Linked DNA regions of Caenorhabditis elegans. The protein of the gene in region 2 interacts with the protein of the main gene of each other region in a pairwise test. Each region holds a gene or a part of one and is shown on either strand. Other genes may lie near its edges.

Region 1 (7,599 bases), on a different chromosome or scaffold from region 2:
CTGGTTCATACCTTTTAATCCATGCAACTCCATATACGAAACTTTGAAGCCACCAGTATCCATTTTCAATTTAGCTGAAGAACTAGACGCGGAGTTCAAAAGACAATCTTTACTGTCTCGGTAGAACATTGCAGATAGGCATGGGAATCTTTTCTCCTGTGCACAAAGACTTAAACACTCTAATTTTGTCTCAGCTTTAAGAACTGATTGGCTCTTATCAACAAGTATTCTGTCGTCCCATTCTTTGACAAGAAGCCTGTGAGGAGCCTTTTTCACGCATTTCTTCTCAATGTAATTTCGCTCTTCGATTCTTCCAAAATAGTTTGATTTGTCGATTACAATGCATTTGTCTCCTTGGAATAAAACTCCTAAAATTTTTGGAATATTTTATAATAACAGATTACAAATTGCTCCTTGAAATTAAAATAAATAAATAAATGAGGGAATTAAAAACAATTTGATAGGCGTACCTGTACAATTCCCAAGAGCACATGAATTGAAACATGCCGTTGCTGATGCGGGTAGTTTTGCATCTCCGTTGACAAAAAATGCTACGGTATCCTTGCCTTGACATCCATTCACGGAATAAATGCAGGATAGTAGGGAAATGGAAATTAGCGGAAACGAAGAGAGAAAGTACGTTCGCAATATCATGGAAAAGATTTGAAATGAATCATAAGTTTGAAACCAGTGAAGGATAGTGTTCCGGAGAATGAAATGCCACGCCCACTTCTTTATTGTGACCCACAATCCAACATCTTGTTTTACTATACAAATATTAGCCTTTTATCTTTCAGGTAGTCATATTTACGACGACAACGAAGAATGAATTACATTCGACGAAGATTCGGCTCACTGATTTTTATGGAAAGATTTTGAAGTCTAAAATGCTTCTGATGTAAACAATATCACAGTTTCATGTTACAATTTCGAAAATAGCGGATACTTTCCATTTTATGCAAATGTGCAGTAGTGCAGGTCAGAACAATACAATATAAACTTTATTAAGATTATTAATTAACCGGTTTCTGTATATATGACCTATAAATATAACTCGAATCGTACATAATAATATGTTATCACTGATTATCATTCTCTATTCCGTTTTCTGATTCATTTTCTGTTTCAAACTCTGTAATACTCGTTCTTTTGCTTCAAAAGTTCCTAGTTTTTCATCTGATTCAAATATCTCCTGAGGGACAAATGGACAATCTGGCGGTGCATTAAATGTGAATGTTGTGACCTCTTCTTCTGATGGTTCAGATACTTTTTTGACTCTTCTTCTGATTACTTTCTTCTTTTCTTTTTCCGTTTCTTTCTCAATTTCTTCCTTTTCAATCACTTCGTCCTTATCCGAATTCGTCGGCAAACCTGCTCCACTTTTTCTTTTTTCCGCATTCCTGACTGCCGAGGCCAAGACGTTACGCTCTTCGGACACACTAATATTCTCGGGTGTTGGAGGTTTTTGTAATGCGAATACATCGTTCAAACTTTGCAACATCGCTCCACGACTGAATCCAATATTAGAGGTAACTCGAGATGCCAGTGGGATTCTTCCAAGAAGCTGTTCAAGGGATGGAAGAGGTGAAATGGAATCACTTGAAATTTCCATAGATAATAAAAGTGCTGAACTGCATCGATCTTCCTCGGTTAGTGTCCCATCAACTACTTCATCATATTGTTCTCCACTGAGCTCGAAGATTTCGTCGAGAAACTCCTCGGCGTCAAGTTCGGAAGCGGTTTCTTCTTTGAGAGCTGTTGTTCTGAAAAGTGGTGTTTTTTGTTGAAAAAAAAACCGAAATGAAAAAGAAAAACTGATGTTTTTCTGAAAGTTTGACATTTCACAACTAAATTTTCGAAAATACTCACAATCTTCTTATACATGGGCTCGTCAATGCAGTATCAGTTCCACCGGGACTTCTTTCTCTATTTGTATTCAACATCATCCTGTTCATCTCCTTTCTTTTAATTTTTCCATGCTTCAGAGTTTTCATCACTGCACTTTGACCAGCCAGCTCTTCTTTCTTCTTTGCTTCCTGATTTAATCTTCTATTCTCTTCTTCTTTTTCAATTGCCAGAATTCGGTTTTGACTGTTTGGCTCAATTCCTGTAATTTCCAAACAAATACTCTCCATTGGAGCTGGATCGGGTGGATGACAACGTCTGAAAAATACTTATTGATTTTAGTGAAAACGTATGAATATCCATACTTCGGATCAATCATTGCGTTCATATTTAAGATGCATGATACATAGGGTACCAACTGTTTGGCTGCTGTCAGAATCTGTCTAGCTGTTTCCCGTAGGTTCAAAATCTCCTCCACTTTTTCTCGATAAATGATTTGTTGTCGCCGTACTCGGTCCAATTGTTCCTGCCAAATCTCTTGCATCTCACTTTGCATTCCATCAAGTGCTGCCGAATGCATTCCAAGACCAGCCTCTATTTTTTTGCACCTACAAATTACATAAGCAATTGAAGTTTTTATTATTGCCACCTACGTTTTGACAAGTTTCTCAACATCCTCTTTTTCTATAATACACCTTCGAATGGTCAAATCTCGTTGAGTCTCAAGAACTTGTTGACTAGTCGAAGACAATGCAGTGACCAACTGTCGCAATGGGTCTAAAATGTTTAAACTCAGCAAAAAACAAAACAAAGATAAACTATCACTCACGTTCAACTTTGCCAAAGAGTTCTCCAAAAGCTCCTGCTAGATCAATTGTTGCCTGGAACTTGGATAGCATTGAAATTGCCTTATGAGATCCTGAGCCACGTTTGTACGAATTTGACGAACTTCCTTCTCGAGACACACTAATTGGACACCAAGCAGCAGACATTCCCAGGAATGGCTCAAGAGCTTTTGCCAAATCAGAACGAACTTCTATACTGTCAGGAGTGGAAGATACCGGAAGTTTGTCAATAGTTTTGTCGAGTAAAACACCAATTCTCTTTTGAAGTTGAGGACAAAGTTGAAGAACATCTAATTTGGATGCAGTTGTGCATAGAATTTGTGCAGAAAACAGACATAGACGAACAGGACCCTGAAGTTTTAAAATATTTTCCAGCTTATTGGACCAAATTGGACTAAACCGGACATCCAAAGTCATGGTTTTGGATTGTCTCTGTGTTTTTCGGTGTTTCGGTGGTTTTTCAAAATTTTTTAAAACTGAGTTTATTTTTTCTAGTCTTTTCAAGTAACTGAACACTAAATTTTTCGAAATCCACAGATAATGAAACGCAGAATAATAATATCAGGTTGTCCCATAAGTTTTTGTACTATTTTTTTTTTGAAAAAAATTTATTTCTCTCAAGCGACAAGTAGTACTATTCACACAAGTATTCACCATTAGTGTCCACCACTTGTTGCCATTTACTAGGTAACATCATGATGCCACGGGAGAAGAAATCCGGCGAACGCGATGAGAAGAAAGTGGAGAGTTCAGTTTTGAGATGCTCTTCGTCGTCGAATTGCTTGTCGCGCATGTAGTCACTGAGAGACAAGAACAAATGGTAGTCGGTTGGTGCAAGATCTGGAGAATATGGTGGATGCGGTAAAACAGTCCAACCAAGATCTTGCAGCTTTTGGAAAGTCTTCTTGGCGACATGAGGCCTAGCATTATCGTGAAGAAAATATAGTTTTTCATATTTTCCGTTGGTCTTTTCTGCAACTCGGTCCAATTGGGCACAATAGTAATCAGCAGTGATAGTTTTATTAGTTGGCAACAATTCCCAGTGCACGGGTCCTTGAACACCCCACCAGACACAGATCATAATCTTTTTTGGGTGAAGATCAGGCTTTGGCGTCGGTATTCCTTTCTCACCGATCGGAAGCCATTGACGTTTTCTGGAATGGTTAACATAGAGCACCCACTTCTCATCTCCAGTAACCAGATTGTTCAGCCAATCGAACTTTCGACGAAAAGTTAGAAGTTGAGTACAAACGTTGACCCGAGTGAGCTTCTGTGATGCCGAAAGTTCATGAGGCACCCAAATTCCAAGTTTTGAAGTAAAACCAAGGCGACCCAAGTGACGTGCAATTGTGCTATGACAACACTCAAGCTTCTCTTCCATTTCACGAAGACTAAGACGAGGCTCTTCCTCCACCAGCTTCACTAGGTCTTCTTCATTTAACTCTACCGGTCGCCCAGAACGTTCTATTTCTTCGAGACTGAAGTCGCCGTTCTTGAACTTTTGAAACCAACTCTTTGCTGTATTATAAGAGAGTGCTCCCTCACCCATCGCACCGCATATGTTTCGTTCCGCTTCCATTGCTGAATGACCAAGACGAAATTCATAAAGAAGAAGCAATCTAACGTCTCGACGTTCAAGTTTGATGATTGTCATCGTGGCAAAGTAGAAATGGATGAAATGAATCTTTTCTGAAAGGGGACGACCCGACCTTGACACGACCTACGATGAAAAAATTTTAAAACTTTCTAGAAGTTTTGGAAAAATATTTGAAAAAAAGTACAAAAACTTATGGGACAACCTGATATTTTAAAATTAAATAAATTAATAACTCACCATAACTGCTTCGATTTCTTTAATTTGTCTTTTACATTGTTCATCACTTTGCTCCTGTTGTTTCACTAATTCTTTTGCCAATGTCTCCCTTGTTGTCATTACAGTATCAATAATTTGCTGGCATAATTGATACAAAGAAGCTCTCGCATCGTCAAAATTCGATGCATTCTCATCAAGAACTCGTTGTCTTACATTCAGTTCTTCTTGTCGCTCTGACTGATAAAATCGAAGTTTTGCCGCGGATTGCTCGATTCGCTCCAGACACAACCTATGCCCCTGCTCAATCGAAATGAAGCTGTGCCTTTCTTCAAGAGGTCTTCCATTAAAACATTGAATACATACAAGTTTTCGAACATCCGAACAATATAGGATATACGGCTCATTGTGGTCCTTACACAGTGAGGAACTGTAGACTTTACTTCGTTCATCGGAACTTATGATTTTGTGTGAGGAGAACATTCTGGCTTGATGAGTCACATTTCGACACACTAGACACAAAGATTGTTGACAAGTTTCACAGTAGAACATGGGAAGTGAGATCTGAAAGTATTTAAAGTTAAAAGAACAAGTAACAACTAAAACAAACAGGAGAAACTTATTTGAAAATTAGGATTTACAAGTTTTAAATTTTCAACTCCAAAATAATATGATATGTAGACAAACAATTGTAAATACCCACCTGCTCACAATTTGCACATTCTTCCATTTCTTCCTTTGAAGCATCTAGTAAAAAGGCAGCCAACTTGTCTGGATGTGGTGTATGGCTTCTTGATGTAGATGGTATTGGAGAACATGATTTGCAACTAGGTGATCCAGTTGAACATTTCCTACATGTTGTATGCTGACAACTGAGAAGTATTGGCTCTTCGAATTCCTTAATCGAAGTTACTTTTAGACATCAAGTAATCATAATTAAACTTACATTTTTACAAATCGTACATTGAAGAGGATTCTCCTCCATTTTATAATTAACTGAGGAGCACACAAAATAAAAAAAGAAAAAGAAACAGCAAGGTGAAATTACACTCAAAAAGATGGGGAAGTCGGCAAGGGAAAGTAGACTATAATTGAGAGAGTGCAGAGATTCAGAGACCACCCCACGGGAAGTTGCAGGCACCCGAGCACAAATCGATTGAAGCTTTAGCGACAATTGTTATATTTACGTTAGAACGAACGGAAACTTGTAACCACACTGTTCTTTGTTTACTTATCACTAAAGTTGGCAGTAGGTTTCTAACAAGTTGGTTTTTTGTGTTCATAGTTCTTTCGGGAAGGCTACAAGAGAAGTGAGAACTTTGATATTTAAAAAATTGTGATTACTTTCATTCGAGGGATAATTTTCTCATTTCAGAAAACTTGAAGCCAATGTTTTTTACAAGTTAGTAAGTTGTATTCCAAGTAACATTTTTATTAGATCGATCCTTAAAGTCTATTGAGATCAAGTATTATCATATTTTCAAAGAACCAGAATGAAAATATTCATATATGTATATAGTCATATGAACTTTATTTTTAAAAAAAAGTAGAGCATGCAAAAATAGTAGGAAACGTTATACTTAAAATATGATTGTTTATTTGATTGCCATCTGTGTTCCACTAGTACTGTACACACTTATGCCATTTGGACCAACACGAACTCTCCGGAAGAAATCTGAAATTTGTGATAATTCTCACGATAAGAATACTTATTAAACTTACTAGCTATAGTCTTTCTGAAGTCTTTTATACAATAAATTGCAATTAATGGTTCAATTGCAGGATACAAAGACATACTGGCACTGGGATAATTCACATACGCACCTAATCCCATATCAAAAAATGGGAGAACAATGAAAAGACCCACTGGGATGTACATTGTTATAAATGGGACAATAGTCTTAACATTTCAATATTTAAAATATATGTTATCATCTAGAAAACATACCTGGATTGATAACATTATATAAAGCTGCCTGTTCAATTCCAGAGTTCTTTTACTCATATGACCTTTTTCTTTTTGCATTTTTAGATAAATTCGTAACGCGAAGAAGCAAATTAAAGTTGTTAATGATCCCTAAATGTTTGTTACTTGATATTTCTATTTATACAAAGGCACAGAGCAGATGTATGAGTTGTGTTCTGGCAAAACTGGTATGGCAACTTACAATAATTCCAGTACAGACTAGTGCAGAGGCTGCATCTTTAAATCTCCAAACTTTCTCTCTATTTGGTCCATTGTTCCAGTACAACGGAGCAATAAAAGATATCATCATTGAATCTGATTCATACATATTTTTAAAATCATCTCTGAAATTAGGTGTCAGAACTGATTCATCACGTCTAGAGGCCACGTTTTCAAAAAGCTACTGAACTACTCATGGACGCTGAAATTATCACTAACTTCAAATAGATTCGTTTTTCCATAGTCGCAGACATTCCCCAAACGACAAGTTCAAACCAGAGAATGTATGTAATTACGCATGGAATGAAGATCAAAAATATTTTATATCCATCGAAATAAGATAACAGACTTTGTCTGAAAAGAGTTTCAATCAGAAATTTGTTGAATCTATTCAAGAAAACCTGCACAATGCAATGTATCTGTAGAAAAACTGTGCCGCAAATACAGAAATCAAAAATCCAAAGGTACCACAATGAAGACCTGTAAATTGTTGTTTTCACTTCAATAACCAAAAAAAGAGGGAAATTCATTTTTTGTTTAAGAGTTCTATGAAAAGTAAAATGTTTAAAACTAACAAGCAACTACATTTCCAATGCCTTGAGAAAAAACGTTATTATCAAGAAACACGACAAACATTGGACCTTTCATGTATAGTACCTGAAAGACGATTATTTGAAGTAACATTCTCAAAATTTCAATTTCAAGTTCCAATTTTCTATTGTATCGTACCGGCTGTGCAATTATCTCTACTGCAGAGTACAACATCGAACAAAATGTGAATACAAACATAACATGACGGTAACTACCAAACAGTTTTCCAGCTCTTTTCACAATTAATATTGCCAGAACAGTATTGAAGATTTGTGCTCCGAAAAAGCCGGCGTAGTGGAAAATATGTAGACCGATCATTGTTG
Region 2 (5,859 bases):
AAGTGTATTCCTCGCTTCTTCGGTGAATTGTAGTCTCCGGTACAGTAGTATCCGATGTGGCTCGATCTCCAAATTTTTCCTTTCTCTTCTTCCGCCAAGTATCCAAATTTTCTTGCCACGGTTCACAGTCGTCGAACTTTAGCTTAAAAATGTTTAAATTAGGATGTGGCTCTTCGGTAACTCACGTACCGTCTGTTTCTGTCCTTGTAACATTTTTTCTCGTTGAGCTTTCTGTTGTTGAGCCATTTGTAGTGTGCTTTTCGCAGATTCAGCCATTTCGTCGCCGCCTTTGTTGACGGCGACGAATTGGAAAGGATCCGAGGATTTCTGTCCCGGTCCTCGTAGCATTTTTGCTCCGGGTCTGCAAATTTCATTTACTAAGAAAATATAATTTTATGAAGCCAAAAAGTTTCGCTCCCGGGTGGGCTCGAACCACCAACCTTTCGGTTAACAGCCGAACGCGCTGCCTATTGCGCCACGGAAGCACGGAAAGTTCAGGTCAAAGAGGCCTATATTCGCTGTAGTTAGAATAGAGACGCAGATAGGGTATGTGCAATAGTTAATACACTGATCGAGTTTACAATGAGAGAGACCGCTATTAACTTCAAACCTAAACGCTAGATTATTTTTTAGAAATCGAATAAATTTTAAGAAAAATGAAAGGAAAAGCTTCTGACATGGGACATCTGATGTGAAGGCGTCAGAAGTCAAAACACAGAAAAAAGCGAAAAACAAGTGTCTCTTTTGGTAATTGATGTTTCTTTCCAGCTTTCGCGTCCCTTTTGCCTTACCAATAGCTAATTTCAGAGACCAGAAACCTTTTGCGGTGAAGAAAATCTGGGTTTCAAGAGGAATATAAAGTTATCAGAGAGAATAGAATTCGGGATAACTGTGAGCTTATTAAAAAAAAACATAGTACATTTTGGAAAACTATCGTAAAGTTCAATAGGTAATTCAGTCTTAAAAATAGTTTCGCGATCTATAGATAGCGTCTCAGGGAGAAGTGTTCAGAGAGTTGAGAGCAGCTACTACCGGAACCCGGTAAAACTTATTTTAAGACACATGGTAATTTTCGCAGTATCCGATATCTACTGGGTTATGTTATTTTTCATCGAAAACACAGTTAAATTAATCTAGTAGAGGAACCTGGGAACTGTTGGGTTGCTGTGAAACATCATTTCCACATTGAGACTGAAATATACAGAAAAAGTAGAAACTTGTAGAAACTTGCTCAAAGAGTTCATAAGACTAAAAAAGGGTTGATCAACAAAAAGAAAAACCGTAACAGTGCCCTTGACTCAAAAATCATGCCGAATATCTTCTCTCACTCTCATATATCCGGTCATTTATTGGCGGCTCACATGCTCTCATTCATTTGTTTATTTTCTCTCCATTGGCGAAACGAGACACAGTTAGAGATGGTCACTACGTTCTTTTTCCGAGACATAAGAAAATAATGAAGAGACTGAGAATATGCTACAATATCAAGAGAGTGCGTAATCGCCAATTTTCGCGCTTGCATGGTAAGTACAGAGAGCTTTGAGTACCCTCCTTTTTTGCTCCGACGCTTGGTTTTTTGGAAAGGCTAACGGTTTACACGTACCGGCAAACGCTCAAAGACAAAAGGAATGAAAAATGAACAGTCTAACTAGAACATTTTCTAGTGAATATATAAGAAAAGATTTTTTGTAAAACTGCAAAGGAAGTCCACGCCCAAATGAACTGGTCTAGAATATATGACTATTGTTTTTGTTTTAATAAAAATAAAATCCGTTTCAAAGAATCTTGATACTGTTTTTTCGAATAAAAACTTAAATTATAAATGTCTGAACATGATCCAAAATATATTTTTAACGTTTCAATGTAGTAGGCCCAGCCCAGCCACGGAGAAATGTCCTATTTTGCCTATATGCGTTGTTACTGCAAAGCTTTTGTTGAATTTCTTAATTGAAATGGGTAGTTAACGCTACAATACAGAAATTTTGAGGAATATGCTATGGTTAATGAAAAAGAATCTCAAAGAGAATGAGAAAAAAACAGACTAAGAAACCTGATTTTCAGAATATTAAAACCTATTTGCATACTTTGCCGCTTTCTTATATTACATCTACCCTTAGAACTTTTATAATGACATTGAAAATTCAAATAATTCACCTAATTAATCTTGTCACTCATAATTAAATGAACGATTTACATGATCATAAATGACAAAAAAATTATTGTGGTGAAAGTAAAACTCACCCAAATTCGTCTTCAGGATAATCAGATCCAAGATTTGGTGGATACTTGGCCACCTGAAAAATGTATTGAAATTATTCTGAATTTATGAAAAATAAATACAAAAAGTAAGTAGAAACGACAAGGTTATTGTGGCAGACATAAGTTAGGTAAACACGATAAAGTACATAATGAAGTTAATCACTTAAAATATCATTTTCGAGTATTAGAGGTGAAAGTGGGCGATTAATAACGTATTTTTTACAACTTAAAAGATAAAACTTTAAAACATGTTTTACGAGTATTATGTTATCATCATCTTGATTAAAAAATGATGATAAACTTTAAAATAACTAAATGCTTAACTGAAAAAGGAACGTAGTTTGATTATAAACGCAACTTTTGATTCAAAAATTTCAACTTTTTTATTCATTTCTCTTCCATCCTACTCATTTCAGAAATGAATCATATCACAGAAAAGGAACACTTTAACATATCATTTATGATAAAAATCGATCATAATACCAATCAAACACAAAAAAGTCTCCTGTTATCAGTTAGTTTTTGTGTGAAGACTGTGTGTTAAAAGGGGTGAGTATGTGAGCCCTCTTGAAATGTAAATATTAATATGCCCAACATTCTTGGGCATTTTTGAGGTTTTGGTTTGCGTGCAAGAAAACTAGGATGATATGGGACATTGGACAGTTTTGATTCTTCCTTTTTATAATTTCTAAATTTTTATTTTTTTTCAGTGTGCCAAATAAAATATGTTAATTTCCAAAATAATTTTCCAATAACCCCTTCTCAATCTAACAGTGAGTTTTAATTAACTTTTCTGTACTAAAAAATGTTTTCAGAGCTTTAACTGTTTTTTACAAACTTTTGCCCAGCAAAAATGCAAAGCTAGAATAACTAGAAAACACAGGAATACGTTGAACTATTTTGAAAATGAATTAGCCACAAAATGTTAATAAATATACAATGAAAAATTCAAACACTTTGAAAGTACCTTCACTGCGTAATCATTCTCCATCATCTTTACGACTTTCTGCAAATAATTGAAATGAAACAATAAAAAAGTCAAGTTACAAGAAGAACATCAAAAAAAGTAATCAATGTTTTTTCCAGAGAATCAAAATAGATTATCTGAAATTCAAATAGAACACAAACACGAGTAACAAAAATAGAAAAAGACCTCTGAGCAAACAGAAATAGCGTTTAACTTGTGGGAAATTTGATGACAGTTTACATTTCTTCAGAGAGGAAGAAAAATAGAAATCGACCACACATTTACAGAAAATTGACACCAAGACTTGAGATTTTGAGAAGAACGGAACCTATTACAATGGTCCATAACTTTGTTATCCAAATGTTCAATTAATAAAAAAGGTACCGAGAATTAAAACAAACTGTAAAAAAGTATGTTCAAAAGCGGTAAAGAAATCCACATCCAAAAATTCTCAAATTAATGTCACTACGGAAAGCATAAATTAAGGAAAATAAAATTCAATAAAATCGGTTTTGAAAATTTCGGGAGAAACCAGAATTGAAATGAATTTGACACGATAATTTGATAATCAGAGAACGAGAGTGAATCTGAAGAGAAAGTGGTCAGATCCTTTCGGAACAATATTCAAATTTATTTCTTCTTATTTCTGCGTATCCACAAGAAAAGCATAAAATTAATGTCTGCGTCTCTTCGTCTCGTACGCTCTATCATAAAATATACACAAAAGTCGGTAATATTGAAGAGATGAAAAGGAATGTCGGTCAAAAGATATTATGGATCAGTTATCAGATGGTGGTGATTTGGAGATAGTCTAAAAGCGGCAGAAGCCAGGGAAATTGAAACTTGGACAGGGAAATAAGGGCAAAGAATATAAATCTGAAGTTCGGAGAAGCTTTTAAAGGGAAATAGAAGACATTGAGAATAAAAAAAACCGAATATAATTATATAACAACAGTATCACAGCGCCATAAGAAGCCATGAATTCTGAAATAATGAAAAACAAGCAGTTCATCTCCAAAAATAGTTGATTCTCATAATATTTCCATCTTAAAAATTCCTCTCTAAAAAGAAACAACATGGTAGAATGTAGGGTAGACCCATTAATGGATTACATTTCTGCAGTGGCCCAATAAATTCATGTTTTTAAATTATTTTAATATGGTAGATTGACTTCAATTTGGTAGGCAAGGATGGACATTTGTGGAATGAAAACAAAGTTTTTTAGTTTTAAGAGAAGTATACTGAAACGTGTCTAGATCTGAACTTGTTAAAATAGCGCCTGATTTGATTGATGTTTTTGAAGTATTGAACCCAACGAACAATTGTTTTATGATTAGAACTCCTGGAACATATTCTCCAATGACCTATCAGAACGTACGATTACTGTAGGGAATAGCTTTTTTTTTCACTTTGACATGTAGATATGTAAATGAGAAAAATGAACGCAAAAGAATAGGAAAAAGCCAAAAATGCAGTAATATTACACGAAGGATCAGAAGAAGAAACAAGGTGGCGGAACGGTGTCGTCGTCAGACGTCTAATCCTTCATTCTTTTTCAACTGTGGTTTCTTCATAACGACACGCATATGTCTTCGTTCCGACAACTAGGTATCCATCCTTCTTACTCTTTTCCTTTTTCTTTTTCTTCTCCTCAAGAAAACACATTATGCAAATGGCGACCAGGTCGGTGTTGATTGCCCGAAACAGGTGTCCTGCTGTGTCCTGGGAGAAGGTGAAGAAGACACTCCTGCATCCACAAGAATCCATAATACAGTCATTTGCATTGGCGGAATAACGATCTGCCAATTATTTCTGCGCCACGGAAATCTCCCGGACCATGGTCAAATATTGAGGAACAGCTGTTTCACGGCATTTAGACATCTAATGGAAGACATCCGTCATCGAGAGTCATATGTGCCTTAGGCAATTTTGGAGCCAAAATCCCTCATAAGGCTTGGGGAGTGAGCCTATGGATTTGCCTAGAAGACTGAGTGTCTAAAAAATCCGTTTCTTACCAGGTAAGCTAATAAATGTTATGTGATGGTTTAATGAATAGGTTTTGGTTTAGTAAAGTGATATGAAAAATAATCGTCAGTAGCCGTTCCTTGACACTGGTTGATATTTCTTTTTTTTTAAAAACGAGAGAAAAACCTTCGGCTGAGGCCAAAGAGAGGTCTGGCTAAGGGAAATCATGCTTACCCTCTCTAAATTTTCATAAATATTTGCCAGAAAAGATTACCAAAGTCTAAATACAGTTTGGTCAGGATTTGCTCATTGCTTGTGGAAGTCACGTTAAACGGTTTAAATTTCAGACGAAGTTAGCAGTCAATGTGCCAAGTAAGATTCAATGATGATGTCTCTGAAAGTCAACTCCAGATAAAATGAGATAACTTTGCAAAATTTTGCAAAAAGTCGACATCAGACATAAACATCATTCCAACCTAAAAATAAGACTTTTATGCCGCACTGCTCCACATTTCCTCATTCATAATTCATCATGGAGAATGCTATATTGAATCAACTTGCACTCTATTAGTAATTTTCTAACCGTCTGAATATTATCTGGAACTTCAAAAAATAAATTTAGTCGTAGTGTGTTTTTGTCAATATTCCAGCTGAAAAACACTAATGCA

What was found. The genes of interacting proteins can lie anywhere in the genome.
Region 1: the proteins of lim-8 (region 2) and F47G9.4 interact in a two-hybrid assay, tested with the Caenorhabditis elegans proteins (one large-scale study listed by BioGRID).

What each region holds. Positions count from the first base shown.
Region 1 is NC_003283.11:11,316,227-11,323,825, forward strand, and holds F47G9.4 (putative RING finger protein 207 homolog), read right to left. Parts: upstream 5,591-7,599; 5' UTR 5,486-5,590; coding exon 5,447-5,485; intron 5,399-5,446; coding exon 5,204-5,398; intron 5,065-5,203; coding exon 4,525-5,064; intron 3,042-4,524; coding exon 2,675-3,041; intron 2,623-2,674; coding exon 2,499-2,622; intron 2,454-2,498; coding exon 2,211-2,453; intron 2,164-2,210; coding exon 1,870-2,163; intron 1,764-1,869; coding exon 1,097-1,763; 3' UTR 987-1,096; downstream 1-986. Other genes in the region: cutl-18 (CUTiclin-Like), read right to left, coding at 12-368, 471-654; str-141 (Serpentine receptor class r-10), read right to left, coding at 6,096-6,175, 6,223-6,400, 6,449-6,577, 6,669-6,810, 6,905-7,039, 7,087-7,165, 7,261-7,342, 7,415-7,594.
Region 2 is NC_003281.10:6,800,194-6,806,052, reverse strand, and holds the start of lim-8 (PDZ domain-containing protein), read right to left. Parts: upstream 3,266-5,859; 5' UTR 3,251-3,265; coding exon 3,227-3,250; intron 2,295-3,226; coding exon 2,242-2,294; intron 825-2,241; exon of another isoform or gene 620-824; intron 486-619; exon of another isoform or gene 413-485; intron 392-412; exon of another isoform or gene 362-391; coding exon 190-361; intron 143-189; coding exon 1-142.